Linked DNA regions of Macaca fascicularis. The protein of the gene in region 2 interacts with the protein of the main gene of each other region in a pairwise test. Links are inferred from orthologs where the notes say so. Each region holds a gene or a part of one and is shown on either strand. Other genes may lie near its edges. The genes, in order: NRM, TRIM59 and ZDHHC22.

Region 1 (5,799 bases), on a different chromosome or scaffold from region 2:
AGGAGACACCCACTCCCCAAGTCTGAGCCCCTCAGTCAACTCACACGCCGCAGGACCCCCGCGGGAGGGGGTGCCGAGGAGCCGGGCGTCCGGAGAGAGGAAGAGGAGGAGAGAGGGACCGAGGGAGATCCGGAGACTAGAGGGAGGGGAGGAGGGAAGGAGAGGAGGGAAGGAGAGGAGGAGGGAAAGAGGCAGCAAAGGAGGTGGGACGGAGACAGAGACCAGGGGGCCGGGCGGGGGCGGCGACCGCTTTGTCTAAGGACAATGAGGAGAGGGATGGGGGCGCAGGGCGGAGCCGAGGAGGGGGCGGGGCCTAGCTCCCTCCCACCCCGCGTGGGACTCGCTCCGGGACTACCCTGTTCTTGTCCCAACCCCTGGCCCTCCGCTGTGTCCCCAGGGGCCCTCACCAGCTTCCCGCCCGGACACCCCAGGTGTCCAGATCCCTTCCCCCAGCTCGCCGACCCAGGGCGGTGGCCCGTGACTCAGGCCCCTCGTGGGACTTTGGGAGGAAGCGGCAGCTGCTCGGGGCCGGGCCCGCCCTTCCCATCTCCTGCAGCTCCTCCCTATGCTTTTGCCTTCTCATCTGGGTCTGGAGGTCCAACCTCTGCAGGCCTTTGTTTTTGCGGGTCGAGGGCAACCGCCAGGCTGTGGGGGGCCTTGTGGAGTGGGCGGCAGGAGAGGCGCTCAGAAACCAGAGGTTTTGGAAGCTCGCCCCCCTACCAGAGCTGCTGCCGGACTCTTTCTAGCTTCAACCTGTCTCCCTTGGGTCTCCGGGTCGGCTGCCGGGAAAAAGGGAATTTGAAGGAATGGGAATGGGGACCCGGCCGCTCTGGCAAAGTGGGCCGGGTCGGCGGGGGGTGGCCGAAGCCCAGCGGTTGCCAGAGGGCGTGGTGGCTGCCCAGACTCCAGTTCGGCGCTCCCAGGCTCCCTCTGGCTTTCTTTTCCAAACTCAGCCCTGCAGCTTGGGAGACACTGACAGACTGCATGCCATATGTAGAAAAATCAGGCTGACTTTTATTTTCCTGCAGAGCATCTTCCTCAGGAGAGCAGGGAGCCCCAAGTCATCGAGTTAAGAGCAGGAGAATACCCTTGACTAGGTTGGGGTCTAAGCACAGAGGCAGGGCCTAAGGAGGTGCAGAGACTAGGACCAGGAGTGGTGAGGCAAGGTGTGGGGCCTAGAGGGACAGCTATGACCATTGAACTTGCAGACCCTGGTCCAGCTTCTTGGAGTGGAAGCCGGAGGTGGAGAAGGGGACGCCTGAGGCACAGAGGCAAGTAACAGTGCCAGGGGAATGGTCAGGGCAGATCCTTTCCTTCTCAGGAGGCTGTTGAGGGCGAAAGTGTCATGCCCTAAACAGTGAGGGGACAGATGAGTTCCATACCCCGCTCTTCCTTGCTAGTGAGAAGTGGACCTTGGAGTTCAGTGGCTGAAACTCAGAATTTAGGGTGTGGAGCTGGACCCAGAGAATAAACTCTCAAGTAGTGGAAGGGGTAGCTCCTTCAGTCCATGAATTTGGGCCTCTGGCGTGAAGCAGCCATGGCCTGGATGTTAAGGATTTAGAATTCAGGGGGAGAGGAAGAACAGCGCTTGTAACCAGAGTGAGCTCCTCACTCTGCCTCCCCATCCTGGGGCCGAGAGAGCAGGTGGAGTTTTCTTTGTAGTTGGGCCCGGAGGTAGCGGAGGTCTTGCTGATCAAGCCCATGAGCCAGGCCCAGGTAGAGGGTAAGGAGGAGAGCAAGGAGGAGACGGTCCATGCCCAGGGTAGGCACCACCCACAGCACTGTCAGCAGCTCCACACACACTGGGTGGCGCAGGTGAGAGAAAAGTCTGAGAGCCCGGGGAGACTTCAGGGCCAGAGGCTCGCCCAGCCCCAGCACATGGTAGTATACCTAAGAGGGAGAAGAGTTTAGAAATTGAGTCAAGCCCTTTTCTCAGCTTGGGCGCTTCTTTCCTCCTCTTCCAGGCACCAGCCTTCTAGAGCTCAGGCCCAGGAACCCCTCTTCTGAGACTTGGATCCCTGATCCTGACTTATGATCCATGTACCTTCCCCAGGCCCAGGAGGCCCATGGTTGCTGTCCTTCTGAGGGAAGGGTCATGAGGGAGAATCAAGGAGACAGTAGAAGAGCATGGGAGGAGGGAAACCCTTGAAAGGGAAAGAGTAGTTCTAAAACGGGTCAGAGGTCGTAGGTAGGGATCTCAGAGCCTCACCTGTTTGAGGCCCATGAGCTCAGCATAGTCAAAGACGAGAAGGATGCTGAAGATGAGAAGCCAGGAGATGACATGGAGCACAAAGCACAGGAGGGGCACCCAGGTGGCCCATGGCTCAGCCTGAGCTTCCCACAACACGGGGCCTCGGGGTACGGGCTCCCAGTACCGCATCACCAGCTGTGGAAGGATAAGGGGCTTCGTATCCCAGTGCCCTACCCTGCCCGACCTTGGGAGACCCGGATCCAGAGCTGCCCCCACCACAGGCTAGCCTGCAACTCTCCCCCACCTCTCACCTAAGCATCACCACCAAATATTCACCATGTGGAGGGTGCATGCTGGGTGAGGTCCCAAAGATGTAAGGATGGCCTGTCTCCACCCTGAGAATTTACAGAACAGATGGGGTGACCTGATAGCTACACAAAGTAGTAGCCTATGCCAACCACCCAATGAGAAGACAGACAAGGCCTCTTCAGACCTAGGGAAGTGGTTTTGAAGAAAGGGTAGGACTGAAGAGAAGGAAGGGATCTCAAGCAGGACATGAACAAAGTTGCAAAGGTGAGAATGCACGTATTGTGCTTGGGGAAGGACAAGTACACCCTTCTTGATAAAAACTAGGGTATGTGCTGTGGAGGAATGGAAGCTGAGATTAGTTCCTCAGTTCTCCTCCTGAACCCATATTTTGCCCCTCCAATCCAGGGCACCCCTCCCACACTTGGTCTCCCTTAGGGACTTCATACCTGCAAGGCCAGGGCCTCATACCTGCAAGGCCAGGGCAGTGCAGGCCACATACAGTGACCTCTGAAGGACCCCAAAGTACCGGGATGTCCATGCCTTCACTCTTTCAGCTGCCATGAGGCTGTGCTGCCCAACAAATAGAAGTAGGAGTCCCAGATCCCATGCCAGGGGGGCAAGGATGCTGCGGTCCTGCAGGGCAGCCAGCCATCCCTGGCGGGCATCTACAGGAAGTTGAGGGAGAAAGAGACAAAAGATCGAAAAGGTGGCAAATGTTTCCCCCATCCTCATCTCCTTTTGGAGCCCCAGGCCATGTCCCTACTGCTTTCAAGAGCCTTAATGCTTCCTCTCTAGGCTGTGCCCATCTCACTTTTCCATTCCTAGTTTCTGCCCTCTTCCCTAGGCCTCCTGCAAACCTAGGGGAGAGGATTTATAGAACAATGCATGTTAGGCAGTTGCAAAAAGCATGGCTGGAGAGGCCACCGCTGGATTGCCCCTCTTATTTCGGTTCTCCAAATGCTCCTTCTTTTTAACACTCTCAACAGCCCTCTCTACAAAACATTTTACTTAGAATACTCTGGTTATCGCCCTTTTCGGCTCCCTCAGTCCTCACTCTCCCACCTCTCCAAAACTGTAATCCTTGAGTTCCTAATTTAGAACTCAGGTCTCCCTCCCCTGTAGCTTCTCGGCCGCTTTCAAGATTCGAGTTCCCTCTCTGGGACTTCCCCTGTCATTTGTTTCCAAGCCCCGCCCTCGATCCCTCTCCTACGGCTCCACCTTCCTACTCCCAGTTCATCCCCGATCCCTCCCGCTCACCCGGACCACCAGACTCCGGGATCCCTCCAAGAAGTGGCCGAAGGGAGGTAAAGCGCACGAACTCCACTCCGGTACCAAAGGCCAGGATGAAAGAGGCGAGGGCAGCAGGGACCAGGAGCAGTGCAGGGGCCATGGCGATAAATGGAGGGGTGGGGAAAGGGGCGGGGTCGGGATTCCCGCTGCCTCAGGCCCCGCCCCTGCCCCGCCCCCGCCCGAATCCAGCCCAGGAAGGCGGGGCTCCTGCACGCCACCGCCCGGCTTCCGGCCCGCCGGGCGCAGCCTTCCCCACCCAGCTGTGGATCCGTCCCGGGATGCGTGTCCCAGCCTGCGGTCTCTCCGTCACGGAAGGGAATGTTAGAATCCCGAGAGAGAGCTGTTAAGGGTAGCGGCTCTGCAGCCGCTTACGTGGGTTAAATCTCAGCTCGTCTAGTTTAACCATCCAAAATTAAAAGTTACTATTTTACCACAAAATACATTAATGTATGGAATACATTGTACAGAATACACTGTACAGAATAAATTCTGTAACTTACTATAAAGTTGAGTTGTTGATTGGCTAGTTGCTAAGAAGGGCAAATAACTTCTCTGTAAATACTGAAAGGTTTGTTGTAATAGTGCCAGAGATTGTTGATTTGTAACCACGAGAGTAAAAATGTTAAAATGTTTGTGATAGTAACCTTTGTCAGAATTAAAGATCATGCAGCTAAGGACCTTGTCGCAGTAGCTGTGCACATAGTAGGGACCTTAGATATCATTAGACTAATTCCATCAACTTATAGATAGAATAAACAGGTCCAGAGAGATAATTGCCTGTTAGGAAGCTGCTAATCCTGTAGGCTAAGGGACCAGAAAACTGCTGAGCAGCCTCTCGCAGGCTTTACATTCCTTCTCCCTCTCCTGGGCTCAGTACTCCCACCCTCCTCTGAATGAATGCTGTTGTATGCTGTACCAGACATCTTATGTTTTCCCTTGAATTCAGTCTCCACCCTGCTTTCTGCTTCAGGAAGTTGTCCCAAATGGACGGTATCAATGAAAGTCACAGTTTTTATTGAGAAAGTCCTCTTTACACGACTGCTCCACCCTCATCTTTTTGAGCTTGGAGGTGATCACAATAGAGCTGTGGGTACTAAGGCACTGCACTATGCTTTCTGATTTCCCTACACCCTGCCTACTTCTTTGTAATTATCATTTTATTAAACTCTTCCCCAAATTATCCTAATTTGACTGTGCTATTCATTTCCTGCTAGGACCACAAATAGAGACACTTACCACACAAAGCAATGTGCTACAAGCTGTGGGGTTCATTGGAAGTGTAAGAGGCCAGACGCAGTGGCTTACACCTGTAATCCCAGCACTTTGGAATCGCTTGAACCCGGGAGGTGGGAGTTGTGATAAGCTGAGATCTCGCCACTGGACTCCAGCCTGGGTGACAGAGTAAAACTCTGTCTCAAACAAAAAAAAAAAAAAAAAAAGGAGGCTGGATGCAGTGGCTCACGCCTGTAATTCCAGCACTATGGGAGGCCTAGGCGGGTGGATTACAAGGTCAGGGGTTCGAGACCAGCCTGACAAACATGGTGAAACCCTGTCTCTACTAAAAATACAAAAATTAACTGGGTGTGGTGGCACACGCCTGTAGTCCCAGCTACATGGGAGGCTGAAGCAGGAGAATTGCTTGAACCTGGGAGGCAGAGGTTGCAGTAAGCCGAGATCACGCCACTGCACTCCAGCCTGGGCAACAGAGCAAGACTCCATCTTAATAACAATGAAAAAAAAGGAGCCAGGCATGGTGGCTCATGCCTGTAATCCCAGCACTGTGGGAAGCCGAGGCGGGTGGATCACCTGAGGTTGACTAGCCTGACCAACATGGAGAAACCCTGTCTCTACTAAAAATACAAAATTAGCCCGGCGTGGTGGTGCATGCCTGTAATCCCAGCTACTCAGGAGGCTGAGGCAGGAGAATCGCTAGAACCTGAGAGGCGGAGGCTGCAGTGAGCCGAGATCACGTCATTGCAACCCAGCCTGGGCAACAACAGTGAAACTCT
Region 2 (5,569 bases):
TATTAATATAATTCACTCAATTAGTTCAATGGAAAAAAAATTTACATTCACATGATATGTGAAAAAAGCATATATAATATTAAAACCAATAAGCAGTCCTCAAAGACAGAAAGTAGAATGGTAGTTGCCAGGGCTTGAGAGCAGGGAAGACGTAGAGTTATCATTTATTTAATGCAAGGGTCCCCAACCCTCCCTACCCACCCTGCACCCCCGCCATGGCGGCCGGCAAGCCCGCCTGAGCAAAGCCTCCTGCCAGATCAGTGGCAGCATTAGATTCTCATAAGAGTGTGAACCCTACCGTGAACTGCGCACGCGAGGGAACTAGGTTGTAGCTCATTGTGAGAATCTAATGCCTGATGATGTGCGGTAGAACAGTTTTATCCCAAAACCATGTACCACCCACCCGCACCTGTCCATGGAAAAATTGTCTTCCTCGAGACTGGTCCCTGGTACCAAAAATGTTGAGGACTGCTGGTTTAATGGGTACACAGTTTCAGTTTGGGAAGATGAAAAAGTTACGGAGATAGTTGGTGGTGATAATTACAAAACAATCTGAATGTATTTAATACCACCAAACTGTATACTTAAAAATATTAAAATGGTAAATTTTATGTTTAGTATATTTTACACAATTAAAAAAAATGTTCAAGTGTCTTGCCTATTATCCAGTCTTTCTTTTGCTAAATGAATTTGAATCAATTTATACTACTGTATGTTTTTAAAAAGCAAAAAAGTAAAATAATCCATGTAAAATGTATTTTCCTCTAGTGAGTACTAAGCTCATGTAGAAACCAATACCTCAAGATTTCCTGCTTCTCTTTTAAAAGTCACCAAGAAATATAAATATGAAAAAATGAATCTTCTCAGAAAGAAATCTGAGGCTAAATCACTCTACTGACAAATTATTTCACTAACGTCTTGTGTTTAAGTGTCAAAACAAATACATTTCTGAATTTCCACACTTTTTATTAAGTCTTTCTCCAGAGGACCAATTCACTAGGGAGCCTCCCTGATGTCTAACTGGCATATTAGGTAATAGATAGTATAACAGATGATAAAATAGCACCAAAAATATTATTACCCATTCTCTTGTGTAAACCAGTTTTTAAGCTTTAATTCACTAATGCTTTCCTGCCTTTCAACTCTAAACATGAACAGTTGTAAAACATTCATTACATTTCACAGCCTCTGAAACGAAAATATTTTTACTACATTATAGAATTCGATGACTTGCCCCATGACTTCTAGTGAGTCAGCTTTAAGTATAGAAAAATTCAAGTGGTGCCACCACCCAAATTGGGGCTCACATCTTTGTGGCCCTAACTGATAAAGAAGAAATACATTTCATGCAATCGAAGACTTACTTAAGAAATAACTACAACTTCATCATTTATATACACATATAAGATTTTTTTTTTTAACACTGTTGCGGAAAGTTTGAGAAGATTTTTAAAAATAATTCTGCCACATATAAATATACAAAAATAATGAGAGATCACCTTAACTTTTTCAAATTAAAAAAAAAATCCTATGGTCAGCTGATTTTAACTCTCTTTGTCCATCTGTACTATTTTATTTCATTTTGATATCAACCTGTTTTCCTAAACTAAAAAATAAAAAAACTAAAAACAAAACAAAAAAAGACTATTAATTCAATTTAACCAGGAACTGACTTGAGAAGTTAAGGCTTTAATTACTTTTGTTATACTTTTCAAAGTAAAAATATATCTGGTGGGAAATATTCATCAACGTGTTTGGTGAAAGGCAATGTCAAAACTAACATTACCTAAAATCAAAATTTCACCTTGCCAGATTAAATAGCTACTTACTCATTTAAAAAGACCAATATATGAATGCATAGTGAAGAAGTATCCAGGTAACTTAATTTGCAGTTTTGTGTAGTTCTGCAGATCTGTATGTCTAAAATAACAGCTTTGCATGTGTTTTGAGATGTACACATTCTTGTAAAATTTCTAGAAGGATGTACGAAAGAGTTGAGTGACTACCTTTAAGGTACAGATCGGAAAAGGAAGCTGTTTATTTTTCACTTTATGCTCCGCTCCTTCGGTAAGATGGTTGGAATTTGATACACCATCAACATAATGTTTTTTCAAAAGACTTCTAAATTTCACTTTATAGTTTAAATGATACACTCTGTAAAAACTCAGTTAAAATGTTTTTCATATTTACTTAATCTCCCAGAACTTACCTACTTTGTTGATCTCCTGGTTTGGGGACTGAATACACTCTCTCCAACTCCTCCAGAATCTTTTATTCTTATTCTAAAATTAAAATAATGTTATCCTTAATGCTTTCAATTTATTGTCTCATGTCATTAAAATGGTTGTTAGTTCACTGTCTTTGATGTTTATCTTCACTATGCTTCACTGTGTTTTCCTAAAAGTCACAAACACCAACACAGTTGCTGGAGCTGCAGTAGAGGTATCGCTTGTTCCTTGAAAATCCGAACTCTGACCAAACAGATGGTCACAAAGGACCTCTTTACAACGTCAAGTAGCTTATGAGCTCTCGACAATATGACCCACCAACGGCGATGGCAGAAAAAACATTCACAAGGTCATTTAGAGTGCTTAAAATTAACTGCAAGACAAAAGCATCCATGGGAGTAAAATACTTTGCCAGCTCAAAATTGTAACTGATTTAGTATAGTTTGCTCATCTCTCTGTTCTGCCATTTCAATGCTGTGGTACCTGAGTCAGTATTATCAAATACCTCTCAAAAGTGAGGCTTCACATCTGTAAAATGGGTAACTGCACCTATCCCACCTAAGTCCTACGAGCACCTCCCACAAAGGGGCTCAAAATGGCAGTACTCTTCCCCTCCCCCTCTGAAAGCTCCACTCTCCCAGGCCTCCCTCCTAAAGCGCCTCCGCCTCCGCAAGGGCCCGACCCCAAGCCCCGCGGGGCTGACCGACTCGGCCTGGCCCAGCTCACCCTGGCCACCACAGAGCGCCTCCTCCCTCACAGGAACGCAGCTCCACAGTGGAGAGACGGGAGAATGGTTCCCCAAACTCCAGTGTGGGACAAGTAGGAATGAATGCAGGTCCCAAGCCACTCCCTCCATCGTCACGCCCCCAGGACTCCCCAGCAAACACACTGGAACACCAGCCTGTGCTACAGGAAAAGAAAAAGGACTCAGAGCCACCTTCTCGGATCCGTAAAGGTCCTTAGACTCACCGCGGGGAGGAGGCGGAGTAGGCGACTCCACAGCGCCGAAACAGAGAGCCACCGGCTCCTGGCTGATGCTGAGAGTCGCCCCGAGTCCCCGCCCTCCTCCGCCCCGAAGGGCTTCAGGTGCCCAGGCCGGGCGGGGCCGCCCGGAGCCTCGCGGCGCAGGCGCAGTCTGCAGGCAGCTTTCAACTGCGCGGCATCGGCCAATGGGAACTATTGCTGGGCTCGTTCGAAAGTAAACGGCGGAAGGCGCGGCCCGAGGCAGGTGGCGGCGGTCAGATCGAGGCTGGCGCCTAGCTTTCCACGCCTGCGTGCTAGGCGCAGGCCGCCTCTCGGACGTTTGGCCTCGAAGGAGCGGCTCTCTAGCCTGTGGGGAGCTTCGGCCAGTGGGCTTCGTGAGCTGGGGTCCCGCCTGGGGCATCTGGATGGCACCGGTAGTCTGGGGGAGAGGCGGGGTCTGGCGCGGGAGGAGGCGAATCGCCGGCGGCCGACGGCTTCTGGGGAACTGTCTTTTACTTGGAGCCATTCAGGGCAGGGCGTGCTGCTATGCTGTGGAATGCAGTGTCTTCCATCGTTGCCTCACAGACCCGCTGCTCCGGGAAGTCGCCACGCATCCTCAGGGCACACCCACACCTGTCGCCAGCGCCCTCCGCCGCTCAGCTGTTTGCTTTTGTTTACGCGTTCCGGAGACCTGACCCACCGGAGCACTGGGCTGAGCACAGGAGAAGGGGTTTTGGAACACTCTTTGTACCCAACTCCGAGAGCGAGTGGGAAACCCGGGACTGGGTTGGGTGCATCTCTCCCTAGCCTTCGTCGTCTTCTCCCGTTTTTCCACTTTACTAAAGTATTGCCTAGAGATGAGGGCTGTCCAACTCAGCACTTCCAACTTCAAGTTCCTACTTCACCTCTAACTCCCTAGAGTTAGAAAACAACTTACAGCTCAGAGGTCCCTTTCCCTTTTTTCTTGAGAAACTTTATTCAGCTTTATCTCAAGACATCTCCGCTTCCCTCTCCTGTCGACCTTAAATAGGTTCAGGAAATATGATTAAGGATAAGAGTTTATTCCAGCGTAAGGCTTGAGGGTAGCCACCCAGGAGACACCAGCTCCAAATGGGGTCAGCATTCCAAAGTGAAGAAGTTAAGGTTTCACCTAGGTGGCCAGAGACAAATTTTAGCAGGATTTCATTTTCCGTAAGAGACCAGTACATACTTACAGCTATTTGGTAGGTTACAGATTGCTACATTCCAAGAAAGAGTACTTCGTTACTCCGTGAGGACGGGTAGTGATCTCAGGGGGTTGTATCTCTGGTATGGTTTGCTCCTCCGATTTTAATTATTTACAGAAACAAAAGGCAGACGGTGCAGATGCCTGCTGCTTGGCTCAGGCTGTAGCCACATTCCTCTCAAGGCTCAGAATAAAGTTCCAACAGCTTTAAGTTTGAATTACTTAACTTCTGATAACTAAAGTCATTTTGTTTACTAATGTGCTAAATAAAGATACGGGCTCTAGACCGGGTGCAGTGGCTCACGCCCGTAATCCCAGCACTTTCGGGAGGCCAAGACAGGTGGATCACCTGAGGTCAGGAGTTCAAGACCAGACTGGCCAACATAGTGAAACCCCGTCTCTACTAAAAATACAAAAAATTAGCCAGGCGTGGTGGCAGGCACCTGTAATCCCAGCTAGTCTGGAGGCTGGGGCAGGAGAATCGCTTGAACCTGGGAGGCAGAGGTTGCAGTGAGCCAAGATGGCACCTCTGCATTCCAGGAAAAAAAAAAATCTATGGGCTCTATATACTGTATATTTATATTGCAGTACATTCAGGTGCTAGGCTTTTATTCAGTAAATTACAGAAAATATTAAAGATACAAAGCAGAAAGTAAGGCAATATTAATGAGGCCTTAGTCAATCTCAGATAGCTTCACCAATTCAGCTCCTAAAAAGGTTGCTTATGAAGTGTGAATTGTAGTGATAGCTACTGTTTCATGGTGGTAAATATTCGTTTTGACTTGATGTACATTTTCTGTTTAAACATTGGAGTCATCCTGATAGACATCTTTATAATTTCCTGTCACAACAACATGTGGGACAGGCGTGGTGGCCCATGTGTGTAATTCCAACGCTTTGGGAGGCCAAAGTGGAAGAATTGCTTGAGCCCGGGAATTTGAGAGCAGTCTGGGCCACAGAGTGAGAACCCATCTCTACCGAAAATAAAATAATTAGCCGGAGTGGTGGCTCACACCTGTAGTCCCAGCTACTTGGGAGACTGAGGCAGGAGGATTGCTTGAGCCTGGGAAATCAGGGCCGCAGTGAGTTATGATCACACCACTGCACTCCAGCCTGGGCAGAAGAGTGAGACCCTGTCTCAAAACAAAAAACC
Region 3 (5,550 bases), on a different chromosome or scaffold from region 2:
ATTCTTATTCCCATTATATGGAGGAGAATACTGAGAGCTGAGAGGTTAAATAACTTGCTCATGGTCACACAGCTGGTAAATGGCAATAAAATGCTCATTCTTAGTCTGCTTGACTCTCATGAGGCCAGAATCCAAGTGAAGTTTTCATATTGATTTTGCCTCCCTATTGATTTTGTCAGGGATAAGCATATGTTTTAGAAAAACAAAATGACATTTGCCGTGCTTCCCTTCACTCCATTCCTTAAGGGGAGCTGAGGAACCACTAGCTTTAGATCTGAAGCTTTAATGTCCTTTTCTGCTGATAAATGATATTTCTAAATAAATAATCGTCCTTGTCCGTTTGTGTTTCCACGACCAGATCTCCTTTTCCTGACTGAATACTCCCTTCCCCCACTAACATCTTCCCACGTTCGCTTAGCTTCTTTCTCTCTTTCCTTTTCCTCATACACACAAATTCAGACACACACCTTCCCACCTCACACCCATATGCAAAATAAAATTAGAAATACCACCCGACTCACAAGGTATTTGGGGAATGGAGATCTTCAGTCAGTATAGCCAAATCCAGGCACCCCAGGCTCCCTCCCTGCCAAGCCCATGTGAGAGGCAGACAGTGCTTGTGAAAAGGGGCCCAGACAGCCACAATTATGAGACAAAGCTGCTCTGAAGGAAAAAGGGCCATGTGTGCCTCCCCGTGTCTGTCCTGTGGCCACTGGAACTCACAGGGCTACCAGCTGCTCACGGCCACCATGTGGCATACTGTTCTTTCACTTACATGTCAGATGCTTTTAGAACGCGAAAAGGTTTCCTGGCCTCTTTTTTATTTTGATGTATGCTGATAAATTACAGAGGAGCAGTGTCTGGTTATTCGAGAATAGAGGCTGAGCTGATTAGCATATGGCCCTCATTTCAAGGGATTGCTCTTGTTTTAATCAGCCAGTTGAGAAAGTAATAAATATTTATTTATTAAGTATGCCATCACCCAGAGGAGAGGAACAGGGCAGGTAGGTGAGCTACGACACCCAGGAAATTGAGGATGGTGATGGCACCAATATTCCTGCAGTGTTTGATGTTTTTAAGGCTCTGCTCCCCCCGCCCCCCACTATTTGATACACACTGGTGTGACTACCCTCTTGGTGCATCACGGTACCCACCTTAGAATAGCGGAGCCCTGGAAGGGGAAGGAAATAGAAATAGGAAGGTGGGGGTAGGGCCCGAAGAAGCAGCTCCAAGTTCAAGCTCTGTGTCTGGATAAACTCCCATTGTCTTTCCTTCTCCCAAATCAGAGCTGCCCATGGGTCCCATGGTGATGCTGGGTTGTGTGGAGGCCGAGGGCAGGAGCATTAACGCTAGAACAAAGTTCAAGTCCAGGCTCTGTCACTTAATGGCTGTATGACCTTAGACATGCGACTTAGCTTCTCTGAGCCTCAACCTCCTCATCCCCAGAATGGGGCTCAGCCAGCTTCGTAGATCAGGCTGAGAGGATTAAGGAAGCGTCTTATGCTAAAGGCTTAGTGCAGTGCCTGCTACCTAGCAGGGGTGCGATAAGTAGTGTCTCTAATTATGATCTAATCAAGCAGTGCTTGCCCTGGGCAGGCCCTGTTTAAGAGTTATACATAGATTTTCATTTAACCCTCACATCTCTGTTTTACAGATGAGGAAACTGGAATCTAAGATTACACTGGAATTTACAGACGAAGAAACTGGAATCTGAGATCTCACAGTAGTGAATGGTGAATATTCAAACCCAGGTAGACAGGCTCCAGAGTCCCAACTCCCAATCCTCTGTACACAGCCCTTTCGAGGAGATGACGCTGGTCTTCACGGGTGTTGCCCTGGCAAGCCGACCTCTCAAACCCCCAGGGTTCCTTCAGTCCGAGTGGAGAGCAGGGAAGGTCGTGGGACATAGCTGAGAGGGAAAGGCAGGATGATGGCTTGAGAATCCACATCAGGGCTGAATCCCAATCTCCCAGCTGGAACGGGCAGCTGAAACCAGGCAGAGCGCCCCAGCCCGCTCAAGGGGAATCGAGGGGGGAGGAGGGGGCAAGTCCACAATGCTGAGACTGGCGGCCAGAGCACCGCCCCCAGGAGCGGAGGGAGGGGTGGCGGGGCTGGGGGGTGCCCAGTTGCCGTCCCCGCCGCTTCCTTGCCCCTACTCGCTGGCGCCCAAGTGGGAAAACAGCAGCTGCCCGCTCCCTCCTCCCCACATCCCCGCTACCTGCCCAGTTCCCGAAGCGAAGCGCAGGCTGCGAGCCAGCCGGGCCGAGCCCACAACTTTGCAGCCTCGGGCAGGGCGAGAGCCGGCGTCCGGGGCTCCTCTTCTCGGCGACCAGAGCTCGGTGAGTTCATTTCCTCACCCCTCTGCGGCGGCGGCAGTGCGGCGGCGGAGGCGCGGGGGGCGGCTTCCCTTGCGTCCGGGAGGCAGTGGCCGAGAAGCCCGCGGCCGCCGGCGCTGCCGGTCTTTCTAAGGCTCTGGCTGTGCCGCCCTCTGCCGCGGACGAGGCGGGCGCCAGTGCTCAACGGACAGCTCCCTGAGCCCCGGGGCCCCACGGGCGGTCTCTGCTGCCCCTTCTCCCGCACAGGGCCCGGGCTGAGACTGCCCACCGAGCGCCCCTCACTCCCCTAGCCCCTGTCCTTCGCCGCCTTCCCAGCGCTGCGGCGCATCTGGCTGCTCCCGCGCCCCCCTGGCGACCGGCGCGGGGAAGGCACTTGCTTCGCCGGAGCCCCAGGCCAAGGGCTCTCCGGGGCGGGCAGCGCCGCCGCAGCCCCCGGCGGCGCATGACTGGGGGCGGTGCCCAGCCCCCCGCGACCACCCTCTGGCTTGCACTGCGCTGCGCCCCAGCGGCAGGGAGAGGCCCACGCTCTCCGCGGAGGCTGCGGGTTCCCGGGGGGCGCTGGGACCTGCAAAGGGGATTCCAAGGTGACCAGTCGCCCCGTCCTGACGGGACAGCCTGGACGGAGGCCCCGTGGCATCCGCCCATCCTAGGTGCAACCGCCTTCCCAGAACTTTTCTCGCGCCTCCGGCTGGCCAATTCCTTAGCCTCTGGAAAAGTTCTCTCGGGCGCACGGAATCCTATTTCTCGGTGGCTTCCGAAGCTGGCCAGGAATCCCGGCTGTGAGGCGTGGAGTGGGATGGGGACGCTGCAAGGGCTGCGCACGGCGGCGGGGTCGATCCCAGGAAAGGCCGGCCAAGCATCCACTCGTGCGCCCAGGGCGTGCTTGTCAGCATGGAAAGGATTTCGGCGCCATGAGGGTTGTTTGGGTTTCTCTCACCAGGAGGGCGGGAGGCGGGCGCGAAAAGGGGATTTTAATTTCGCCTCAAATGAAAACGCTCTTTGCAAAGAAACAGCCCGGGCAGCCAGCGTTGGAGAGATGTGCTGGCCAGGACCCGCTGACACAGGTATTCTGGCTGCGTCCCCACCCCACCCGGCGCCCGAGAGCGAGTGTGAGTGTATCGGTTGTTTTAATTGATTTTTTTAAGCTAGGTGGCAGAGGCTGCGTGTCTGTACACGCAGATACATACATACACAAATACAGATACTCAAGCGCACACAGATTACACGTACAGAGTCACAGACAAGGACACACACACACATCGTGGTCCCGCACGCACACATACCTCCAAAGAGCCTTGGGTAACCGGTGAGGTCCCTGAGTGCTGCCCAAGATGTGTGTGTGGGTGGGGGCGCAGGGAAGGAGAAAGGGAAGTGTGAAGCAGGATTTCCAGCAGCTCAAATGCCGCTGATACCTCTGCCCCCAATCCCAAATCCTTCCCTTTCTCCTCCTAGGGAGGTCTGAACCAGAAATCCCAAACCTGGGCTTGTTTCCACAGCCACAGAGGGGAGGAGTCCTATCCCCCAGCGCCCCCCACCCTCACAACTTGTATTGCTGTGCCTGACTCTACCGCGCCAAGGCGCCGAGCTCGCTCAAAACCCCAGGCAACACTCACCCCCAGGAAGGGCCTAGACCCGAGGCCGCTGCGGGCTCGGGGTCTCTGGCCTGCCTGGTCCGGGGTTAGGGAACTGGGGAGGGGAAATCGGCGGGACAGGGGTTTGGGGGCGTGGAGTCGCGTGCAGAGCCCCAGAGGCGCGGCACGGAGGAGCGCGCGAGGGCGCCCCCTGGACGCCGCAGTCAGTCAGTCCTCTTCTCACCCCGGGTCCCGCAGGAATGTAATCGAGGATGCTGGCCCTGCGGCTGCTCAACGTGGTGGCCCCCGCCTACTTCTTGTGCATCTCCCTGGTGACCTTCGTGCTGCAGCTCTTCCTCTTCCTGCCCAGCATGCGCGAGGACCCCGCGGCCGCCCGGCTCTTCTCGCCGGCCCTGCTCCACGGGGCGCTCTTCCTATTCCTCTCGGCCAACGCCCTGGGCAATTACGTCCTGGTCATCCAGAACTCCCCAGACGACCTGGGCGCCTGCCAGGGGGCCTCGACCAGGAAGGTTCCGTGCCCCTCACCTAGCACCCACTTCTGCCGAGTGTGCGCCAGAGTCACCCTGAGGCACGACCATCACTGTTTCTTCACCGGCAACTGCATCGGCAGCAGGAACATGCGTAACTTCGTCTTGTTCTGCCTCTACACCTCCCTGGCCTGCCTCTACTCCATGGTGGCCGGCGTGGCCTACATCTCCGCGGTCCTTTCCATCTCCTTCGCCCACCCCCTGGCCTTCCTCACGCTCCTGCCCACCTCCATCAGCCAGTTCTTCTCCGGTGAGTGGGCCTTGGCAGGCAGGTTGGGCTCTACCCAAAGATCTCCCACCCCAAAGGTTGCCGGGCCCCAAACTCCAGCCCCAAAAGTTGCCAGATTTAGCAAATAAAAATACAGACCCTTCCATTAAATTAAAATTTCAGATAAACAACTCATAATTTTTTAGTATAATTATGTCCCAGATACTGTATGAGATACACTGAGAAAATTTGCTATTGGCTATCTGAAATGCAAATTAAGCGGACATGCTGTATTTTATTGGCCACATCTCCCCATACCCTCATCATCCTCATCCATCATGCTGTCCATATGCTCAGAGTTGTGGCATCCAGGTAATATACCTGCTCTGTGCCAGGCAGGGCTGGGTGCTGGCCATTCCTCCATGTAGCCCCATGAGGTACAACCATGCTATGACCGTCCTCTGCCTGGACCCCAGTCCTGCTTACATGTCACCCAAGGACTCTGCTCTCCAGAGGTCTCACCAACCAATTGCAGTAATATTGAACTTGTTGCCAGCCCAGCCCAGCAGGAGACTAAGCCTCGTCCTCCTGCCTATTATGTTTGACCTCACCAGCCTGTTCTCCAGCCTGTTCTCCAGCCTGCCGATGGCTCAGAGCAGAGGGAACTTGGGTGGGAGAGGCAGGCATTTTTTTTTTTTTAGACAGAGTCTCACTCCATCACCCAAGCTGGAGTGTAGTGGCGCAATCTCTGCTTACTGCAACCTCTACCTCCCAGGTTCAAGTGATTCTCTTGCCTCAACCTCCCGAGTAGCTGGGATTACAGGTGCGTGCCACCGGCTAATTTTTGTTATTTTTAATAGAGACGGTGTTTTACCATGTTGACCAGG

The links.
Region 1: the proteins of TRIM59 (region 2) and NRM interact in binary tests that used the Homo sapiens proteins (3 or more experiments, as listed by UniProt). The two-hybrid records come from large-scale screens. The link is inferred for Macaca fascicularis from reciprocal best matches to the Homo sapiens genes TRIM59 and NRM.
Region 3: the proteins of TRIM59 (region 2) and ZDHHC22 interact in binary tests that used the Homo sapiens proteins (3 or more experiments, as listed by UniProt). The link is inferred for Macaca fascicularis from reciprocal best matches to the Homo sapiens genes TRIM59 and ZDHHC22.

Annotation. Positions count from the first base shown.
Region 1 is NC_088378.1:141,963,618-141,969,416, reverse strand, and holds NRM (nurim), read right to left. Parts: upstream 3,907-5,799; 5' UTR 3,891-3,906; coding exon 3,758-3,890; intron 3,166-3,757; coding exon 2,969-3,165; coding exon of another isoform or gene 2,963-2,968; exon of another isoform or gene 2,947-2,962; intron 2,387-2,946; coding exon 2,210-2,386; intron 1,891-2,209; coding exon 1,609-1,890; 3' UTR 993-1,608; downstream 1-992. Other genes in the region: PPP1R18 (phostensin), read right to left, coding at 408-583.
Region 2 is NC_088376.1:63,409,193-63,414,761, forward strand, and holds the start of TRIM59 (tripartite motif-containing protein 59), read right to left. Parts: upstream 3,350-5,569; 5' UTR 3,198-3,349; exon of another isoform or gene 3,166-3,197; intron 2,284-3,165; exon of another isoform or gene 2,283-2,283; 5' UTR 2,210-2,282; intron 1-2,209. UniProt on the Homo sapiens protein: E3 ubiquitin ligase involved in different processes such as development and immune response. Serves as a negative regulator for innate immune signaling pathways by suppressing RLR-induced activation of IRF3/7 and NF-kappa-B via interaction with adapter ECSIT.
Region 3 is NC_088381.1:145,084,248-145,089,797, reverse strand, and holds the start of ZDHHC22 (palmitoyltransferase ZDHHC22), read left to right. Parts: upstream 1-2,150; 5' UTR 2,151-3,400; exon of another isoform or gene 3,401-3,445; intron 3,446-4,165; 5' UTR 4,166-4,179; coding exon 4,180-4,705; intron 4,706-5,550. UniProt on the Homo sapiens protein: Palmitoyltransferase that could catalyze the addition of palmitate onto various protein substrates and be involved in a variety of cellular processes. Catalyzes the palmitoylation of KCNMA1, regulating localization of KCNMA1 to the plasma membrane.